Anolis sagrei: one gene and its partner. The protein of the gene in region 2 purifies or fractionates together with the protein of the main gene of each other region. This does not show direct contact. Links are inferred from orthologs where the notes say so. Each region holds a gene or a part of one and is shown on either strand. Other genes may lie near its edges.

Region 1 (10,872 bases), on a different chromosome or scaffold from region 2:
CAAAGTCTGTCACTGCCTCCACGTTTTCTCCCTCTATTTCCCAGTTGTAAATCATTCTTGTTGCCATAATCTTGGTTGTTTTGATGTTTAACTGCAACCCAGCTTTTGCGCTTTCTTCTTTCACCTAGATTAGAAGGCTCCTCAGCTCCTCCTCGCTTTCGGCCATCAAAGTGGTATCATCTGCATATCTCAGGTTGTTAATGTTTCTTCCAGCAATTTTCACCCCAGCCTTGCATTTGTCAAGCCCCGCTTGATGTGTTCTGCATACAAGTTGAATAGGTTGGGGAAGAGGATACAACCCTGTCGTACACCTTTTCCAATCTTGAACCAATATGTTGTTCCATGGTCAGTTCTTACTGTTGCTACTTGGTCCTTATACAGAATCATATACGGGTTGTTGTAGGTTTTTTCGGGCTATATGGCCATGGTCTAGAGGCATTCTCTCTTGATGTTTTGCCGGCATCTATGGCAAGCATCCTCAGAGGTAGTGAGGTCTGTTGGAACTAGAAAAATGGGTTTCTATATCTGTGGAATGACCAGGGTGGGACAAAAGACTCTTGTCTGCTGGAGCTAGGTGTGAATGTTTCAACTGACCACCTTGATTAGCATATAATGGCTTGACAGTGTCTTGCTTTGACAGTGCCTAGAGCAAACTTTTGTTGAGAGGTGATTAGATGTCCTTGTTTGTTTCCTCTCTGTTGTTGAGCTGTTGTAATTTTAGAGTTTTTAATACTGGTAGCCAGATTTTGTTCATTTTCATGGTTTCCTCCTTTCTGTTGAAATTGTCCACATGCTTGTGGATTTCGATGGCTTCTCTGTGTAGTCTGACATGGTGGTTGTGAGAGTGGTCCAGCATTTCTGTGTTCTCAAATAATATGCTGTGTCCAGGTTGGTTCCTCAGGTGCTCTGCTATGGCTTGACTTCTCTGGTTGAATTACCTTGCAGTGCCTTTCATGTTCCTTGATGCGTATCTGGGCAATGCTGCTGCGTTTGGTGGTCCCTATGTAGACTTGTCCACAGCTGCATGGGATACGGTAGACTCCTGCAGAGGTGAGAGGATCCCTCTTGTCCTTTGCTGAACGTAACATTTGTTGGATTTTCTTGGTGTTTCTGTAGATAGTTTGTATGTTGTATTTCCTCATCAGCTTCCCTATGCGGTCAGTGGTTCCCTTGATGTATAGCAAGCACACTTTTCCTCTGGGTGGATCTTCGTCAATACATAGAATCATATATATCTATCTATATTTTTGACTGGATGACTCTTTGTCAGGAGGGCTTTGATTACATTTTCTTGCCCTAGTGAAGATAGTCGGACTGGATGACCTTAAATATTTTCTGTCAGTCATCAGGGTTCTGTGTGGGAAATTTGCCCCAATTCTGTCGTTTGTGGGGTCCAGAATGCTCTTTGATTGTAGGTGAACTATTTATTTATTTATTTATTTATGGTGTCATCAGCAACCATACCATTGTATTACAATTCTAACAGAGCAAAGCAAACACACAGATTAAAAAGAAAAAGAAAAAAACCCACAGATTTTGCAAATTTGGTAGTTGATTAAATGTCCTTTGACCAGTATCTGGCCACTTGGAGTGCCTCTGGTGTTGCCGCAAGAAGGTCCTCCATTGTGCATGTGGCAGGGCTCAGGTTGCATTGCAGCAGGTGGTCAGTGGTTTGCTCTTCTCCCCACTCGCATGTCGTAGATTCCACTTTGTAGCCTCATTTCTGAAGGTTGGCTCTGCATCTCGTGGTGCCAGAGCGCAGTCTGTTCAGCGCCTTACAAGTCGCCCAGTCTTCTGTGTGCCCACGGGGGAGTCTCTCATCTGGTATCACCCATGGATTGAGGTGCTGGGTTTGGGCCTGCCACTTTTGGACTCTCACTTGCTGGGGTGTTCCAGCGAGTGTCTCTGTAGATCTAAGAAAACTATGTCTTGATTGAAGTCGTTGACGTGCTGGCTGATACCCAAACAGGGGATGAGCTGGAGATGTCTCTGCCTTGGTCCTTTCACTATTGGCTGCTACTTCCCGGCGGATGTCAGGTGGTGCAATAACGGCTAAGCAGTGTAATTTCTCCATTGGTGTGGGGCGCAGACACCCTGTGATAATGCGGCATGTTTCATTAAGAGCCACATCCACTGTTTTAGCGTGGTGAGATGTGTTCCACACTGGGCATGCATACTCAGCAGCAGAGTAGCACAGCGCAAGGACAGATGTCTTCACTGTGTCTGGTTGTGATCCCCAGGTTGTGCCAGTCAGCTTTCGTATCCAGAAGCAACCAGAGGTGAACTATAAATCCCAGCAACTACAACTCCCAAATGACAAAATCAAATTTTTTTTAGTGAAGGACGTAAATTGGGTTGTTAGGTGTATTGTGTCCAAATTTGGTGCCAATTCGTCCAGTGGGTTTTGAGTTCTGTTAATCCCACAAACGAACATTCCATTTTTATTTATATAGATAACATTTAACATGATATATTCCTTTAAATAGACATTTAACTTTTATGTATTATATAGTTTTTAAAAATATATAACTTTATTGTATTGTATAGATCTTTAAATACATATATTAGACTTTTAACTTTGGCCTTTACAGATTATATATTCTATTAAATATATATTTAACTTTTATTTATTATAGTCCCTTTAATATACAGTTCAAAGCAGGCCTGGGCCAACTTGGGCCCTCCAGGTGTTTTGGACTACAACTCCCACAATTCCTAACAGCCTCAGGCCCCTTCCTATGGAAGGGGCCTGAGGCTGTTAGGAATTGTGGGAGTTGTAGTCCAAAACACCTGGAGGGCCCAAGTTGGCCCAGGCCTGCCTTAAAATTACTATTTCCTTTGAATACATACTTAACTTTTAACTATCTATTCCTTTAAATATACATTTAACTTGTATATAGGAATGGGAAGGAGAAACCCCTCAACAAGGGGTCCTGCTTACCAATTAGAGCCGGAAGTGGAGCCCCTTCCTCCTCCAAAGAGCCCAACAGCTGAGGACTGAAGCGGAAGAGCCAAAAGGAACGGAAAACGAAAGGGAAGGGCAAGGCTAAGCTGGCAGGAGGACGCCGACAGCGGCACCGTCTGGCGGGAGGAAGAACTGCAGCTCCACTACTGAGCCAAGCCAGACGGGAAATCCTTTCGACCAGGATGTCTCTGCGCATGCTCAGAATGCTTGGGGATTCCAGTATTGGGAAAGTGTCTTGCTTTTTGTTGTCATCATCTTCATTGGGGGAGGTGGATATAAGAACTGCTAAGCTCATAAAGCACTCTGCACTTGGTCAGAGGCATTGCAATGCAAACTTAAATAAGAAAGACTGGAAAAGGAGATCTGCCTATATTCCTAAAAGCACTCTGCACTTGGTCAGAGGCATTGCAATGCAAACTTAATAGTAAAGACTGGAAAAGGAGATCTGCCTATATTCCTAAAAGCACTCTGCACTTGGTCAGAGGCATTGCAATGCAAACTTAATAGTAAAGACTGGAAAAGAAGATCTGCCTATATTCCTAAAAGCACTCTGCACTTGGTCAGAGGCATTGCAATGCAAACTTAAATAGTAAAGACTGGAAAAGGAGATCTGCCTATATTCCTAAAAGCACTCTGCACGTGATCAGAGGCATTACAATGCAAACTATACCTTGGGGGGGGGGAGGTGGATATAAGAACTGCTAAGCTCATAAAGCACTCTGCACTTGGTCAGAGGCATTGCAATGCAAACTTGGATGGGGAAGACTGGAAAAGATCTGCCTATCTTCCTGAAAGCACTCTGCACATGGTCAGAGGCATTGCAATGCAAACTTAGATGGGGAAGACTGGAAAAGGACATCTGCCTATATTCCTAAAAGCACTCTGCACATGGTCAGAGGCATTGCAATGCAAACCTAAGCGGGAAACAATGGAAAAGGAGGTCTGCCTCTATTCCAAAATACACTCAGTGACATTACAATGCAAACCTACCCTGCTTGTATTCTAAAATACACTCTGCGCATGGTCAGAGGCACTACAATGCAAACCTAAATGGGGGAGAATGGATAAGTCGATTGGTCTGTACTCCAAAATGCACTCTGCATATGGTCAGAGGCATTGCAATGCAAACTTAAATGGGGAAGAATGGAAAAGGGGACCTGCCTGTAGTCCAAAAGGCACTTTGTGCATGCTCAGAGGCATGGCAATGCAAACTTAAATGGAGAAAACTGGAAAGGGAAATCTGCCTTTAGTCCAAAAGGAACTCTGTGCATGGTCAGAGGCATTACAATGCAAACCTAACCGGGGACTGGAAAGGGAGCTCTGCCTATATTCCTAAAAGCACTCTGCACATGGTCAGAGGCATTACAATGGGGAAGACTGGAAAAGGAGCTCTGCCTGGACTCCCAAAGGCACTCTATGCATGCTCTGAGGCATTGCAATGCAAACTTGAATGAGGAAGAATGGAAAGGGAGCTTTGCCTGTACTCCAAAAGGCACTCTGTGCATGCTCAAAGACATTACAGTGTAAACTTAAATGCAGAAGACTGGAAAAGGAGATCTGCCTATAGTCCAAAGTATGGAAAAGGAAACCTATTTGTACTCTGTACATGCTCTGTACATGCTCAGAGGCTCTGCCTGTACCCCAAAAGGCTCACTGTGCATGCTCAGAGGCACTGCAATGCAAACTTAAATGGGGAAGAATGGAAAAGAAGATTGACATGTACTCCAAAAGACACTCTGTGTATGATCAGAGGCATTGCAATGCAAACTTAGATTGGAAAGAATGGAAAAGGAGCTCTGCCTGTACCCCAAAAGGCACTCTGTGCATGCTCAGAGGCATTGCAATGCAAACTTAAATGGAGAAGAACTGAAAAGGAGCTCTGCCTGTACTCTAAAAGGCACTCTGTGCATGCTCAGAGGCATTGCAATGCAAATTTAAATTGGGAAGAATGGAAAAGGAACTCTGTGCATGCTCAGAGGCATTGCAATGGAAACTTAAATGGAGAAGAATTGAAAAGGAGATCTGCCTGTAGTCCAAAAGGAACTCTATGCATGCGCAGAGGCATTGCAATACAAATTTAAATGGGGAAGAATGGAAAAGGAACTCTGTGCATGCTCAGAGGCATTGCAATGCAAACATAGATGGGGAAGAATGGAAAAGGAATTCTGTGCATGCTCAGAGGCATGGCAATGCAAATCTAAATGGATAAGATCAAAAAAGAAGGATCTGCCTGCAGTCCAAAAGGAACTCTGTGCATGCTCAGAGGCATTGCAATGCAAACTTAAATGGAGAAGAATGGAAAAGGAGATCTGCCTTTAGTCCAAAAGGAACTCTGTGCATGCTCAGAGGCATTGTAATGCAAACTTAAATGGAGAAGACTGGAAAGGGAAAACTGCCTTTAGTCCAAAAGGAACTCTGTGCATGCTCAGAGGCATTGTAATGCAAACTTAAATGGAGAAGACTAGAAAGGGAAAACTGCCTGTAGTCCAGAAGGCACTCTCTACATGCTCAGAGTTATTACAATGGGGAAGAGTGGAAAAGATCTGCTTGTAGTCCAAAAGGAACTCTGTGCATGCTCAGAGGCATTGTAATGCAAACTTAAATGGAGAAGCCTGGAAAGGGAAATCTGCCTTTAGTCCAAAAGGAACTCTGTGCATGCTCAGAGCCATTGCAATGCAAACTTAGATTGGAAAGAATGGAAAAGGAGCTCTGCCTGTACTCCAAAAGGAACTCTGTGCGTGCTCAGAGGCATGGCAATGCAAACTTAAATGGAGAAGACCTGAAAGGAAAATGGAAAAGGAGACCTGCCTGTAGTCCAAAAGGAACTCTGTGCATGCTCAGAGGCGTTGCAATGCAAACTTAGATGGGGAAGAATGGAAAAGGAACTCTGTGCATGATCAGAGACATTGCAATGAAAACTTAAATGGAGAAGACTGGAAAGGAACTCTGTGCATGCTCAGAGACACGGCAATTAAAACTTAAATGGGGAAGAATGGAAAAGGAGCTCTGCTTGTAGTCGAAAAGGCACTCTGCACATGGTCAGAGTTATTACAATGGGGAAGAATGGAAAAGGAGATCTGCCTGTAGTCCAAAAGGCACTCTGTGCATGCTCAGAGGCATTGCAATGCAAACTTAAATGGAGAAGAATGGAAAAGGAGCTCTGCCTGCAGTCCAAAAGGCACTCTGCGCATGGTCAGAGGCACCCCTGCCTGGAGGGCGGGGCAGCCCTCGCGTGGTGGGCGGAAACGTGTGAATGCGAAAGCGAAAGACGCGTCAAAAGGTGGCTCAGCGTTTGGGGAAGGAGCCTGCTTGGTCTTTGCCTTGAACCTCTCCCTGGAAGCCTCCAAACCAAGCCATCATGCCCAGGTCCTGCACCTCCCTCCAGATCAGCAAGGAGACCCAAGGAAAGGTGGGCATCCCAGGGGAATCCATGGGGGGCAAGAGCAAAGCCCAGAAAGGGATTTGGGGAGAGAAAGCAGAGAAAGAAGGTCAATGACTTTTACTTTTACTTTGGAAGGGAGGGGGATTTCCATGGTAAACAAAGATAAGGGAAGTTAGCATTCAGGTGGACTACAAGTCCCATCATCTCCATCATTTAGTTTCAGAATACAGATTGAATTGGTTTATATGGATCTATAAGCATGGGCAAACTTGGGCCCTCTGGGTGTTTTGGACTCCAACTCCCACAATTCCTAACAGCCGGTAGGCTGTTAGGAATTGTGGGAGTTGGAGTCCAAAACACCCAGAGGGCCCAAGTTTGCCCATGCTTATAGATCCATATAATTCAATTCAATCTGTATTCTGAAACAATTCATATTTTTTTGTTTTGATCTCTTTCCAGATGGACCTTTTCCGGAAATCGCTTTTAAAAGAGGTAAGTGACTATTACTCCTGGTGGCGCAGCGGGTTAAACCGCTGAGCTGCTGACCGAAAAGTCGGCGGTTCGAATCCGGGGTGAGCTCCTGCTGTTAGCCCTAGCTTCTGCCAACTTAGCAGTTTGAAAACATGCAAATGTGAGTAGATCAATAGGTACCACTCTGAATCCATTTTGAGCTCTCGCTGTTAGCCCCAGCTTCTGCCAAGCTAGCAGTTTGAAAACATGCAAATGCGAGTAGATCAATAGGTACTGCTCCAAATCCAGCGTGAGCATCCTCAGAGGTTGTGAGGTCTGTTGGAAAGTGGGGTTGATATATCTGTGGTATAGTGTCCAGGGTGGGAGAAAGAACTCTTGTCTGCTGGAGCTAGGTGTGAATGTTTCAATTGGCCACCTTGTTTAGCATTTAATGGTCTTACCAGTTTTCGAAGTATAATTTCTTACTGCCTGGGGGAATCCTTTGTTGGGAGATGGTTAGTTGTCCCTGACTCTTTCTTGTCTGGAGTTCCTCTATTTTTGAATGTTGTTCCTTATTTACTGTTATGATTTTAGAGTAATATAGCAGTCTTCGCCTCATAAAAAATAATTCAATATAATTTTCCGAATCAGTGCCCCAAATAACCCCAGGAACAGGTGGTCAATTGCAACATTCACTTGTCTCCAACAGACAAGAGTTCTTTCTCCTACCCTGGGCACTATTCCACAGGTAAATGAACCCCACTTGCCTAGTTTCCAACAGACCTCCCAATCTCTGAGGATGCCTGCCATAGATGTGGGTGAAACGTCAGGAGAGAATGCTTCTGGAAGTCCAAAATTCACTGCATTAATTTGACAGTGTAGATGCACCCCTTGTTTTCAAATTTCTCAATCTTTCATATTCTCAAGCTAACTTTATTCTCGCATTTTCCTCCTGGGCAGGAAGCAGCCAGGCTTTGAGGCTGCAAGGATATTCAGTGGTAATCAAGGTGGTCAATTGCAACATTCACTTGTCTCCAACAGACAAGAGTTCTTTCTCCCACCCTGGACATTATTCCACAGATATACAAACCTCACTTGCTTAGTTTCCAACAGACCTCCCAACCTCTGAGGATGCCTGCCATAGATGTGGGTGAAACGTCAGGAGAGAATGCTTCTGGAAGTCCAAAATTCACTGTACTAATTTGACAGCGCAGATGCACCCCTTGTTTCAAAATTTCCCAATCTTTCATATTCTCAAGATAATTTTATTCTTGCATTTCCTGATTAGGGTGAAGAATTCCTTTGCCGTTTTTTACCTGCGAAAATATCACAGTTGGACCAGTTCTTGAAGGTAAGCGACGGACCCCCACATCCCACCTTTTTGAGTATTCCTGGTGCATCTAAATAATAGAATTAATGATGCTTGACACATTTTAACTTCCATGGCTTAATGCTATGGGGTTGTGGGAGTTGTAGTTTTCACAAGGCCTTCAGCCCTCTCTGCCAGAGTTCTGGTGCCTCACCAAACTACAACTCCCAGGATCCATAGCAGTTAAAGTGGTATCCAACTGCATTAACTCTGCAGTGTAGTTGCACCTTGAGTTTATGATCTCTGCTTTTTTCCTTGTAATATATTTATTTTTGTCTCTTTTTTTCCCCAGGAAGATGCGCTGAATGTCAAAGATCTGACCTCTCTCCATGCTCCGCTGGATATTCCCATTCCAGATCCTCCTCCCAAAGATGACGAGGTGAGGTATTCAAGTAAAGCCAGTGCCCAATTTTGGGTCTATCCCAGGTATGGGCCAACTGTAGCCCTCCAGGTGTTTTGGACTTCAACTCCCACAATTCCTAACAGCCGGTAGGCTATTAGGAATTGTGGGAGTTGGAGTCCAAAACACCTGGAGGGCCAAAGTTTGATACATCCCCAACGCAGAATTTATTAAAATGGGGTTGGACTAGATGACCTTTGAGGGTATCCCTTCCAAGATTCTATTATTTTTAATATTTTTTCCCTACCAATTAAGAAATTCTAGTGTTTCCTATAAGTTCAACGCTTGATGTTGTCGAGTCTGTTTTTGTTCCCCCTCCAGATGGAAACAGAGAAGGAAGAGAAAGAAGGTGAGCAAACAACACTATTGGAAAGTCAGGGAATTGGGGTCTGTAGGTGGGATCTGTAGGTATAGGATTAAAGCACTGAGCTGCTGAGCTTGTTGATCGAAAGGTCGCAGGTTCGATTCCGGGGAGCGGCGTGAGCTTCCACTGTCAGCCCTAGCTTCTGCCAACCTAGCAGTTCGAAAACATGCAAATGTGAGTAGATCAATAGGTACCGCTCCGGCGGGAAGGTAACGGCGCTCCATGCAGTCATGCCGGCCACATGACCTTGGAGGTGTCTATGGACAACGCTGGCTCTTTGGCTTAGAAATGGAGATGAGCACCACACCCCAGAGTCAGACATGACTGGACTTAATGTCAGGGGACTACCTTTACCTTTACCTTTAGGTGGGATAATAATGATAGTCTTTTATGGCTTGCCCTTGATTATTTGGTTTCCTTCTCAGCTCCCAAATGCGGCTACCTGAAAGGCAACGAAGCCATCCTGTCGCTTTTGGATCGCGTCAAACCCGAAGTGCGGGAGTTCAAGGAGAAATGCGCCTTGGTGAGTTGGAACCAAGCAAATGCTCTGTTTACAAGATGGAATACGTACTAAACATTTGTATGGTGCTAGATGTGCTGCTGTCCTAAATTTGTGCCTCGGTTTCCCCTTCTCGTTCCATCAGGTCACCACCTGGATTCAGTTCATGATTCCCAAAATTGAAGACGGCAATGATTTTGGGGTGGCGGTTCAGGTAAGATCCATGGAGATCTGTATGTCCCTGGACCCAATTGAGCATGGACCCCTTGCATCCATAATATACTATACTATACTATAATTTTTTTTTGTCGTGTCAGGAGTGACTTGAGAAACTGCAAGTCGCTTCTGGTGTGAGAGAATTGGCTGTCTGCAAGGATGTTGCCCAGGGGACGCCCGGATGATTTTGATGTTTTTATCATCCTTGTGGGAGGCTTCTCTCATGTCCCCGCATCAGGAGCTGGAGCTGATAGAGGGAGCTCATCCGCCTCTCTCCGGATTCGAACCTGCGACCTGTCGGTCTTCAGTCCTGCCGGCATAGGGGTTTAACCCACTGCGCCACCGGGGGCTCCACATACTATACAACAATATAATATAATATAATATAATATAATATAATATAATATAATATAATATAATATAATATAATATAATATATAATAATAATATAATATTATATAATATATAATAATATAATATAATATAAAACATAACATAACATATACTGATGTGTGTGAGTGTGTGTATACTCACCCCTATACAAACAAAGATATGCATACACACACATATATACACACAAGCATATACTCATGCACATACAAATTTATACACACATGCGCACCTATATGGATACACAGATTTATGCACACTTGTATATATGTATATACACATACACACAACACATAGACACATATGCATGCCATAGAACAGTGGTTCTCAACCTTCCTAAGACTGTGACCCCTTAATGCAGTTCCTCATGTTGTGGTGACCCCCAACCACAACATTATTTTTGTTGCAATTGTAATTTTGCTACTATTATGAATTGTAATGTAAATATCTGATATGTAGGGTGTATTTTCATTCACTTGACCAAATTTGGCACAAATACCCAATACGCCCAAATTTGAATACTGGTGGGGCTGTGGGGGAGATTGATTTTGTCATTTGGGAGTTGTAGTTACGGCAGTTTATGGTTCATTTCAATTCAAAGAGCATTCTGAACTTCACCAGCAATGCAACTGAACCGGACTTGGCACACATAACTCTTATGACCAACATAAAATACTGGAAGGGTTTGTTGGGCATTGACCTTGAGTTTTAGAGCTGTAGTTCACCTACATCCAGAGAGCACTGTGAACTCCATCAATGATGTATCTGGACCAAACTTGGCACGAATACTCAATAGGCCCAAATGTGAACACTGGTGAAGTTTGGGGAAAATAGACC
Region 2 (10,763 bases):
TTGTATGAATTAACTCAAATTAATCTCAATGGCTAATATAAACTAAATATTTTGATATGTTTGCACTACCAGTTGTTGATGCATTGAAGCTCTGATTTCAGGCTACCAAACAGTCATTTCTAAATGGGATCTTGGGATCCTTGTAATGGGTTGATGGCTTATCATTCACTACTGAAGTTGTCTGGAGTAAGCGTTATAACAATGTAATGCAAGAGAATGGAGGACCTGCAATTCACATTATAATGAGACTGAATAGGTGGATACCAAAGAAGAGCAATTTGTGAGTTATCACCAGTAGAACAATGTGCAATATGGATTACACATAGCAGAGTGTAAATTTAGGATCATCATGATTCAAAATTTATGTGATCTCAGAAGGCATCAGTTATGGGATGTTGGAGTGGACTGACTATTAGTTTGATTTTCCAGTACTTTTCCATAATTCCTAAGATATAGGTCCAACTCCATTAGAACCTACTCCTGGATAAGTTTCAAATCCAATCAACAATAGGGTTACACTGTTTACAGAAAACCCGCACACAGAGATAGATAGATACCTACATAAAAACTCCAACCATCACACAAGTCAAAAAAGAAATACCATTAAAGCCTTGGCAGACCGTGCAAAAAGAATCTGCAAATCCCACCTCCTCCGAGATGAACTGAACCACCTAAACCACCACACTTCCCAACAAAGGATTCCCCCAAGCAGGAAGCAGCCAGGCTTTGACACTGCAAGGCCGTTCAATGCTAATCAAGGTGGCCAATTGCAACATACACACCTGCTTCAAACAGACAAGAGTTCTTTCTCCCACCCCAGACATTCCACAGATATATAAACCTCAGTTGCCTAGTTTCCAACAGGTCTCACAACCTCTGAAGATGCCTGCCATAGATGTGGGTGAAATGTCAGGAGAGAATGCTTCTGGATCATGGCCATACAGTCCAGAAAACTCCCAGCAACCCAATTGTTCATATTGTTTGTGTTAAATGTTTTGATACGGCCAATAGGCCAATCAATAAAACGTATCTATCTATCTATCATATTGTTTGATTTGTTTGCCATTCTGAGGTTTCACGTTAAAAGGTCAGGATCAAAATATTTTAATAACAATTCATAAATTAAAAACTCACCACTTCAGTTGATGTATTTATTATTCAGATATGAGAAGAAGTTGTATAAGAGAAAGGGAGTAGTCTATGAAGTAAAGTACCAATACGGCATGGCAATTTACTACTAATGTGCAGGCACAATACATTTTGAAATGGGGACTACGGGCATCAATTCCCTCATTGCTGTGCCACCATGGCAACTGAAGGGAAATGCAAGTAGTTTACTTTCACAAGAGGCTGTATCTAGAGACTGAGAAGTGGATTTGCTGAGTCAGATCACTCACGGGGTTCTCCTTCATATACAAGTCTCTGGACCTCTCCATTTTGATCAAGAGGCAGTGAATATTTTAGTGTCACTCTGCTGAGCCATAAGATGCTTCCAGAGGATGCTTTCATTGTGCAATGTCTTCTCCACAGGTGGAGAGGCAGTATTCAGGTCTCACTGATTTCTCCATCTATTTGCAAACCACAAACTCCATTAAAAAGGGAGAAATTGAATAGCCGCCAAGTGCCTATAGATTGGTAGTAAGATCAACTGCTCAAGAACACCTTGGCACATGCTGCTGAGACATTTCAGGTGCATAAGGGATGCATCTACACTGTAGAATTAATACAGTTAATTGCTATGGAATTACAGAAATTGTGATGGAGCCCTCAGTGGTGCAGCGGATTAAACCACTGAGCTACTGAACTTGCTGATTGAAAGGGAATCTGGGAAGTGGGGTGAGCTCCCACTGTTAGCCCTAACTTCTGCCAACCCAGTATTACAAAAAATATGCAAATGTGAGTAGTTCAATAGATACTGCTCGGGCAGGAAGGTAATGGTGCATCTATGGACAATGCCAGGTCTTATGGCTTAGAAATGGAGATGAGCACCACCTCCCAGAGTCAGACACGATTAGACTTAATGTCAAGGGGAAACCTTTACTTTTACTACTTCATGGAAATTGTAGTTTTATATATTTTTTAGCCTTCTCTGCTAATAAGTGGTGGTGCCTAACCAAACTACAACTTCCAGTATTCCATAGTATTGAGTCATGGCTATGGAGCCCCCGGTGGCACAGGGGGTTAAACTCCTGTGCCGGCAGGACTAAAGATCAACAGGTCACAGGTCTGAATTTAGGGAGAGCATGGATGAACCCCCTCTGTCAGCTCCAGCTCCCCATGCGGGGGCATGAGAGAAGCCTCCCACAAGGATGATAAAACATCCAGGCATCCCCTGGGCAACATCCTTGCAGACAGCCAATTCTCTCACACCAGAAGCAAATTGCAGTTTCTCAAGTCACTCCTGACACGAAAAAATTCATAGTAATTAAAGTGGTGTCAAAATGCATATTTCTATGGTGAAGATGCAGCCAAGGTTTTGGCAGAGCCCACCCCACCCTCCTCCTGTCCATACATTTATTTATTTACTATATTTGTATACCGCTCTTCTCAGCCCTCAGGGTGACTCAGAGCGGTTCACAACAGCAAATACAATACTTAAAACATGATAAAAACAGGTGAGAACAATTTAAAAGAATAACATTATAACAATCAATAAGCATCAAACATCTCATATCATCTCATAGTTAAAATCAAGATCCAGTCTCATCATCCAATTGTTCCATATTTCTGTATTAGTTACACTGCCTATTCAAATGCCTGCTTGAATAACCAGGTCTTCAATTTCCTCCGAAATGTTAACAGGGAGGGGGCCGATCTAATTTCTGTAGGAAGGGCATTCCACAACCGAGGGGCCACCACTGAGAAGCCCCTGTCTCTCGTCCCCGCCAACCATACTTGTGATGCAGGTGGGACCGAGAGCAGGGCCTCCCCAGATGATCTTAACGTCCTAGCTGGTTCATAGGAAGAGATCTGTTCGGACAGGTAAGCAGAGTATGCATCTGCTCTATATCTCATTACTGTTTCCCTCTTTCCCATTTTAACATACAATACAGATGCCAAGGTATGTGAATTTGCATTTTGCTGGTGCCAGAAGGTAAAGGCTGCATCTACACTGTAGAATTAATACAGCTTGACAGAACTTTATCCGCCAGGTTCAAAGATGTGGGGTTTTTTGGAGCTGTAGTTTCATGAGCCATACAAGACCTTCTATAACCACAACACCCACGATTCCACAGCATTGAGCCATGACAGTCAAAATGGTGTGAAAAGGAATTTATTCTGCAGCAAAGCAAATAAAAATAATCAAGAATTATTATTAATAATAACTTATTTTTTACCCACGCCTCCTTATGCCTTGAGGCAGCAAATAATACTACACCCACAATGCTGTTTTTATGATCAAGTTTAGTTTGTTTTAATTTGCTTTTAATTATTGTATTTCAATATAAATATGAAGTCAATACAGAGTTTATGGTATAGTAGAGTATGACCGTAGTTAGGCTTATTTTAAATAGTAACTCTTAAGCAACTAGAAATTCAATTTATCAAGCACTTGCAATAATGTATTTTTGAAGGCTTTCATGGCTAGAATCACTGGGTTGTTGTAGGTTTTTCAGGCTGACCTTTCACCTGCATCTGTGGCAGGCATCCTCAGAGGTTGTTGGAAACTAGGAAAATTGGGTTTATATATCTGTGGAAGGTCCAGGGTGGGAGAAAAAACTCTTGTCTGGGTTGTTTTAGGTTTTTTCGGGCTGTATGGCCATGTTCTAGAATCTAGGGGAATTCTCTCCTGACGTTTCACCTGCATCTATGGCAAGCATCCTCAGAGGTTATGAGACCTCACAACCTCTGAGGATGCTTGCCATAGATGCAGGTGAAACATCAGGAGAGAATGCCTCTAGAACATGGCCATACAGCCCAAAAAACCTACAACAGCCCAGTGATTCCAGCCATGAAAGCCTTCGACAATACATTGAACTCTTGTCTGTTGGAGTTAGGTGTGAATGTTTCAATTGGCCACCTTGATTAGCATTTAATTCTGTGACATTTTTAGGTGTGGCTTATCACTTCCTGTTGAGAGGTGATTAGATGTTCCTGATTGTTTCTTGTCTGGAGTTCCCCAGTGTTTGAGATTTGTTCTTTATTTACTGTTATAATTTTAGAGTTTTTTTAAAATACTGTTAGCCAGATTTTGTTCATTTTCATGGTCTCTTCCTTTCTGTTGAAATTGTCCACATGCTTGTGGATTTCAATGGCTTCTCTGTGTAGTCTGACATGGTGGTTGTTGGTGTGGTCCAGCATTTCTGTGTTCTCAAATAATATGCTGTGTCCAGGCTGGTTCATCAGGTGCTCTGCTATGGCTGACTTCTCTGGTTGAAGTAGTCTGCAGTGCCTTTCATGTTCCTTGATGCGTGTCTGGGCGCTGCGTTTGGTGGCCCCTATGTAGACTTGTCCACAGCTGCATGGTATACAGTAGACTCCTGCAGAGGCGAGAGGATCCCTTTTGTCCTTTGCTGAACGCAGCAATAATCCTCCTGGGTTCCGGTGAAGGGAGCGTCTCCCATCTGACTTCCAAGGAGTGAGGATGAGCCTGCCTTTGGCACTGCCCTCCCAGCATCTTTTCTGGCCGGCTGCCTTGTGTCCTTCGCCTCCTTCCTCCCTCTCGTCATCTACGCTGCAGAACGGACCACCAGCAACAGGTTGTCTGGGTTGTTGTAGGTTTTCTGGGCTATATGGCCATGTTCTAGAAGCATTCTCTCCTGACGTTTCGCCTGCATCTATGGCAAGCATCCTCAGAGGTTGTGAGGTCTCACAACAGACTTCACAACCTCTGAGGATGCTTGCCATAGATGCAGGCGAAACGTCAGGAGAGAATGCTTCTAGAACATGGCCATATAGCCCGAAAAACCTACAACAACCCAGTGATTCCAGCCATGAAAGCCTTCGACAACAGGTTGTGTGTTTGATAGAAAGCCTTCGTCCCTTCCCGTGACTGTTTGGACTGTTTACCTTTATCCATAGAGCCGCGTGTATCCTTTCACCAGGAGCCTTGAAGCGGGATGGGTACGCGTGAGTATGCGAGGGTGCGTGTGGACGAGGAAGGAGCACAGCTCAATAAGAAAGCGGCTGATTCAGGAAGAGGGCGCGGGGATTGGATAATATGGTTGGATTGACTCCACAATGTTGAATCAATGCAGTTTGCTACCGCCTCAACTCTCCTGGTTCAATGCGATGGAATGCTGGGATTTGTAGTCTGTTCTCTCTTTGCATGTGTACCTGCATTTAGGATTGATTAGTTACGTTCCTCTTTATTATTTACTTGAAAGCACTTTGTTACAATACCGATGAGGAGTTCTTTTCAAAATTGGGTTGTTGTAGGTTTTTTCGGGCTATGTGGCCATATTCTAGAGGCATTCTCTCCTGACCTTTCGCCTGCATTTATGGCAAGCATCCTCAGAGGTTGTGAAGTCTGTTGTGAGGTCTGTGAGGTATCCAGGAGTAGGTTCTAATGGAGTTGGACCTATATCTTAGGAACTATGGAAAAGTACTGGAAAATCAAACTAATAGTGCACTCCAGCATCCCATAACTGATGCCTTCTGAGATCACATAAATTTAGAATCATGATTATCCTAAATTTACACTCTGCTATGCGTAATCCATATTTCACATTGTGGAATGTCCAGGGTGGGAGAAAGAACTCTTGTCTGTTTGAAGCAAGTGTGGATGTTGCAATTGACCGCCTTGATTAGCATTGAATGGCCTTGCAGCTTCAAGGCTTGGCTGCTTATTGCCCGGGGGAACTCTTTGTTGGGAGGTGGTTAGCTGGCCCTGATTGTTTCTTGTCTGGAACTCCCCCGTTTTTGAGTGCTGTTCTTTATTTACTGTTTTGATTTACTACAGCTCCTATGAGTCCATAGCATTCAGTCATGGCAGCTGAAAAGGGGTCAAACTGCATTCATTTTACGGTGTAGATCAGGCATGGGCAAGCTTGGGCCCTCCTGGTGTTTTGGACTTCAACTCCCACAATTCCTAACAGCCTCCCGACTGTTAGGAATTGTGGGAGTTGAAGTCCAAAAAGACTGGCATCCGACAGCCAATCAGCGCTTGCATCGAGCTTCCCCGTAAGGGCCAATGAGAAGATAGCTTTGTAAGATCCCGCTTCGGCATCCGATTGGTCGGCGGAGCGTGCGAGACGTACGGCGCGCAGGACCACGCATGCGCGGGACGCAGTGGCTAGTGAAACCGGGTGCTACGCTGACAGGGCCGCAGCCATCCTCGACCTAAAGTAGCGGCTTCCAGTCAGGTTTGCGGCCTCCCCTCGGGCGCCCTTCCGTCCCATCCTTTTCCTCTGCTGCTCCTGCCACTGTCGCTAACAGCAACATGTTCCTCACTCGCTCCGAGTACGACAGGTGAGTTGGGCCAGGAGGAGAAGGAGGCGCGGCCTGGTCCTGCCGGGGCTGAGTCACTCTGGGAGGCCCGGCGCGCTCCCTCGCTCGCTCGGCGTTTACATGCCAACGGAAGTGGGGGAGAGCTGCTTCCGCTTCTTCCTCCCCTTCCCCATTTTCTGGAGCCCACCACTTGGTTCCTTCAGTGGGACGAGGGGCCTTTGGGATGCGCTTAGTCACCCCTCTGAGCTTCCTTTTTGCACAGTCAAGGTTCTTCTACACTGTAGAATGAATGCAGTTTGACACCACTTCTCCCGGGAGTTGTAGTTTTAAAAGGTTTTTAGCCTTCAGTGCCAAAGAGTGTTGGTGGCTCCACAAACTACAATTCCCATTTTCCCCATAGCATTGAGCCATGACAGTTAAAATGGTGCCAAACTGCATTCATTCTCCTAAGGCAGTGGTTCTCAACCTGTGGGTCCCCAGATGTTTTGGCCTTCAACTCTCAGAAATCCTAACAACTGGTAAATTGGCTGGGCTTTCTGGGAGTTGTAGGCCAATACACCTGGGGACCCACAGGTTGAGAACCATGGTCCTAAGTCAGTGGTTTTCAACCTGGGGTCCCCAGATGTTTTTGGCCTTCAACTCTCAGAAATCCTAACAGCTGGTAAACTGGCTGGGCTTTCTGGGAGTTGTAGCCCAATGCACCTGGGGACCCACAGGTTGAGAACCATGGACCTAAGGCATCTTGTTCAGCATGCACACTAGATACATAGGCACCATCTATATCAGGCCTGCAGAACTCATGGTCCTCCAGGTGTTTTGAACTTCAGCTCTCTAAATTCATGACCATTGGAAAAGCTGGCTAAGACTTCTGGGGGTTGAAATCTTAAATACCAGGAAGGCCAGAGATTGTGTAGGCCCGATTTGTACTGTTAATGCAGTTTGACAACACTTTCACTTCTGTGGTTTAATATAACCCCCTCACCCCCTACCAAAAATAAAAACAACAATAATATAGAGCCACAGATGTTAAAGTATCAAACTGCATCAATTCTACAGTGTAGAGCAGGCATGGGCAAACTTTGTCCCTACCGGCTGTTAGGAATTGTGGGAATTGGAGTCCAAAACACCTGGAGGGTAGAGGCATCAATAGCTAATATTTATTACAAAGACATCTGTCATTATACAGCTTGAGTATCCTTTATCCAGAAACCTGAAATGTTCCAAACTTGTCCACGTGGGTGACTGTAATAGTGACACCTTTGCTTTCTGATGGTTCAGCATACACTAACTTTGCTTCATGCACATACATTTTTTAAAATATTGTTTGTAAAATTACCTTCCGGCTAGGTGAATATGAACCAGAAATTAATTTCATGTTTAACTCAGGTTCCATCTCCAAGCTATCTCACTGCAGAATCATAGAAACAAAGAATTGGATGAGACCATTGAGGTCTTCTAGTCATTATATAGATTACTCACAGTAACCTATCTCTTTTTTATTTGTGTTTCCAATATGCTCACCAATAGGCAAAGGAACAAGTGATTTGTTGCTGGAGAGGTTTATGTCCCTTTTTTCAAATTGTATGCTAATTAGAAATGTATATATAAAGGTCCCCTGTATTTATCATAGATCTCAAGGTAGTAGTAAGTTAACATATTCCTGTTCAGGGCAAACAGAGCTAACTGCATTGTGCAACAATAAAGTACTGTCTCAGTTGCTGAGTAGGAAAGGCCTCAACCAGTTTCCTTAGTCATAGTGAGAAGCTTTTGCTTTCAGTTACACTGAGCTGGGCTGAACTTATTAATCATTCATCCTTCTACATGAGATGAAGCTAAATGTTACATAAGAAAATAACTTGGAAATGTATTGTAAAGAAAGAAAAAGAAAACTAGAAAATTTAAATTAGTTATATAGAGAATATCAAATAAATTTATAGAGTCCTGCTAATATTAATTTTATAAACAAATACTAAATGAAGGGCCTTCTCACTGCTCAAGTGTCTTCAGGCCCCTCTTACCCTGCCTTAAAATCCAGATTATCAAAGCAGATAATGCACATTATGTGCTTTTATCTGAATTATATGAATCTACTCTGCCATATAATTTGGTTCAAAGCAGATAATCTGGATTTTATATGGCAGTGTACAATGGGCCTTAGCGTGTTATCCTGCTAAGAGAAATGCACCTTTTTATATGTTGAAGTTGTCTCATTCTTTAGGGAATCTAAATGTTACTTCTTTAATTCTTGCAATTTTTAATTTGTTTTATAGTTTCATTAAAAAAATTAATATAAGTTAATTTTAAAATTATTTAAAGCTACACATTTTTGCGGAAATATTTCATATTAATTTAATAAAGAGACATTACCAAGTACACTGGAAACTTGGAGTAAGGCTAATGTGATCACACTTTGATCTCTTTTGCTTTGGCCTTACCCTGAACAATTTTCATGTTTTGTTGATGTTTTGTATCTTAGGTTTTCAACAGGTTGTTCTGTTGATTAGAAATGAAATGAATAAATAAATGCCCTTGCTTTAATGCAGTCAGTACCATTATTTCAATTGAATATGTGATCTGCTGGCACATGTCTTTAGCATTGTTGAAGATTTTGGTCCTAGGAACATTAAATTCTGAGTAAACATGCATAGTATTAGGTTATACATTTGACTTTTGTCTTCCAATTATAGGGGTGTGAACACTTTTTCTCCAGAGGGAAGATTATTCCAGGTGGAATATGCCATTGAAGCTATCAAGGTACAATAAACATTTGAAACGATTGTCTTAAATATTTCCACATCCATTCTACAAGGATGGATGGATTGGAATGGGAAATCTCAAAGATTAAACTGCAGAATTTCAGCAATGTGCTCCCAAATATGTATTTTTGAATTCAGAAATATTTTTTTTTTCATGTGATCTTTTGCTATATACAGTTGCATACTTCTGGAATATTAATTTGAGTAATTCCTTGAGAGTTACTGTAGGTAGGGGAGGGAAAGAAGATTGCTCACAGGAGGCCTAGGACTGACCATGAAAGTCAGATAATATCTTCTCATATATTACTTCCAAAAAAAATTCTAAAGTCATTCCAATATACCTTTTTGCATACTGTAAAAGGCATGAAACTTCTCTCTCTGTCTTTCTCTCCTTCTCTTACCAGAATTACACACTTAGCTCACACTAGGCTTTAATGTTTCTGCTTTACAATATAGCTGTTTTAAATTGGTTTGTAGCACTTTCGTCCAGACTGCATTAGAATTCATTTTAATGAATTTGGCATAGAAACTTCATAGAAGAGAGCAACTAGTCATCTTCATTATGAATTTGTGCTTAGATTGTGGAGCCAATACATATTGTGTACTACTGTCTCGTCTGATATATTGATGTGATTTTACCTGTATTTCATGTGGTTATGGCACTTGTATGTGCTTCTGTAAGCCACCTCAAGTCCTTCTTGGCGGGTATAAATAAAGTTTTTTAATTATTATGATTATTATTACCATAGTTTTGTGTATGTTTAGTTATGTCATACACTTTTTATCTTAGTCATAACACCCATGTGATCAAAAAGAAAGGATTTAAAAAGTAATGATTTTGAATGTTTAAACCAGGGAGTGACACAGTATAGCCCTGTAGTGTTCAGCCCTCCAGATTTTGTTGGACTGGAATGCCCATAAGCCTCAACTACCGCTACTGACAACCCATTAATATGTGGAGGGCTGAATTTTGCACACTCCTGCTTTAAGGCTTCGACAGAGGCTTTCTGTAGTCAAACCTTTGTACATTTGGCTTCCCTACAAGCACCATTCCCTGGTCATCTCTGTGTACTGTGCTGCAGTATTTTGTGATGTTTCTTAGTATACTGATGTATATTTGGGACAGGTGAAAAAACAGCACCTTGTTACATCAATGGACAGCTTATCTAAATAAAAATGACAGAATCGAATATTTCCATTTTTCATGTAATTATTCATAGTGGAATTGCACAAGATTGGCATTCTTCAGAACTACTTCTTCATTTTGCCATAGCTTAAAATGCAGGTCACATTTTCCTTTTTGTAAGATGAGAAAATAGCTAAATGAAACTGTAGGAACTGGAAATTGGTACATAGGAACAGCTAGTGTCATTGAAATCCTGACTCACCTGTTGTGCTGGTTGTATGAGTAGATAACTAATGTGTAGGTTTTAATATTTTCAGTCACCATGTTTACTGTGGTGATCATGCTACCACTGTAAGGCAAATGTGACAGATATCCATCTTCTCTTATAGCTGTGAAGTTCTAGAGGTGGACTGTGATCATCTGACATTTCTGAAGTAGTTGTTGACTGTTCCTAGCTAACCTCTGAGTGACCAACACTTAAGAGCTCCTCA

Evidence for each region.
Region 1: the proteins of PSMA5 (region 2) and PSME2 purify together in Homo sapiens (co-immunoprecipitation; 5 studies listed by BioGRID and IntAct, with this or other methods). This does not show direct contact. The link is inferred for Anolis sagrei from reciprocal best matches to the Homo sapiens genes PSMA5 and PSME2.

What each region holds. Positions count from the first base shown.
Region 1 is NC_090026.1:8,178,175-8,189,046, forward strand, and holds the start of PSME2 (proteasome activator complex subunit 2), read left to right. Parts: upstream 1-6,191; 5' UTR 6,192-6,323; coding exon 6,324-6,374; intron 6,375-6,806; coding exon 6,807-6,839; intron 6,840-8,085; coding exon 8,086-8,148; intron 8,149-8,458; coding exon 8,459-8,545; intron 8,546-8,887; coding exon 8,888-8,915; intron 8,916-9,355; coding exon 9,356-9,453; intron 9,454-9,574; coding exon 9,575-9,643; intron 9,644-10,872. UniProt on the Homo sapiens protein: Implicated in immunoproteasome assembly and required for efficient antigen processing. The PA28 activator complex enhances the generation of class I binding peptides by altering the cleavage pattern of the proteasome.
Region 2 is NC_090024.1:184,748,221-184,758,983, forward strand, and holds the start of PSMA5 (proteasome subunit alpha type-5), read left to right. Parts: upstream 1-6,193; 5' UTR 6,194-6,382; coding exon 6,383-6,411; intron 6,412-9,077; coding exon 9,078-9,144; intron 9,145-10,763. UniProt on the Homo sapiens protein: Component of the 20S core proteasome complex involved in the proteolytic degradation of most intracellular proteins. This complex plays numerous essential roles within the cell by associating with different regulatory particles.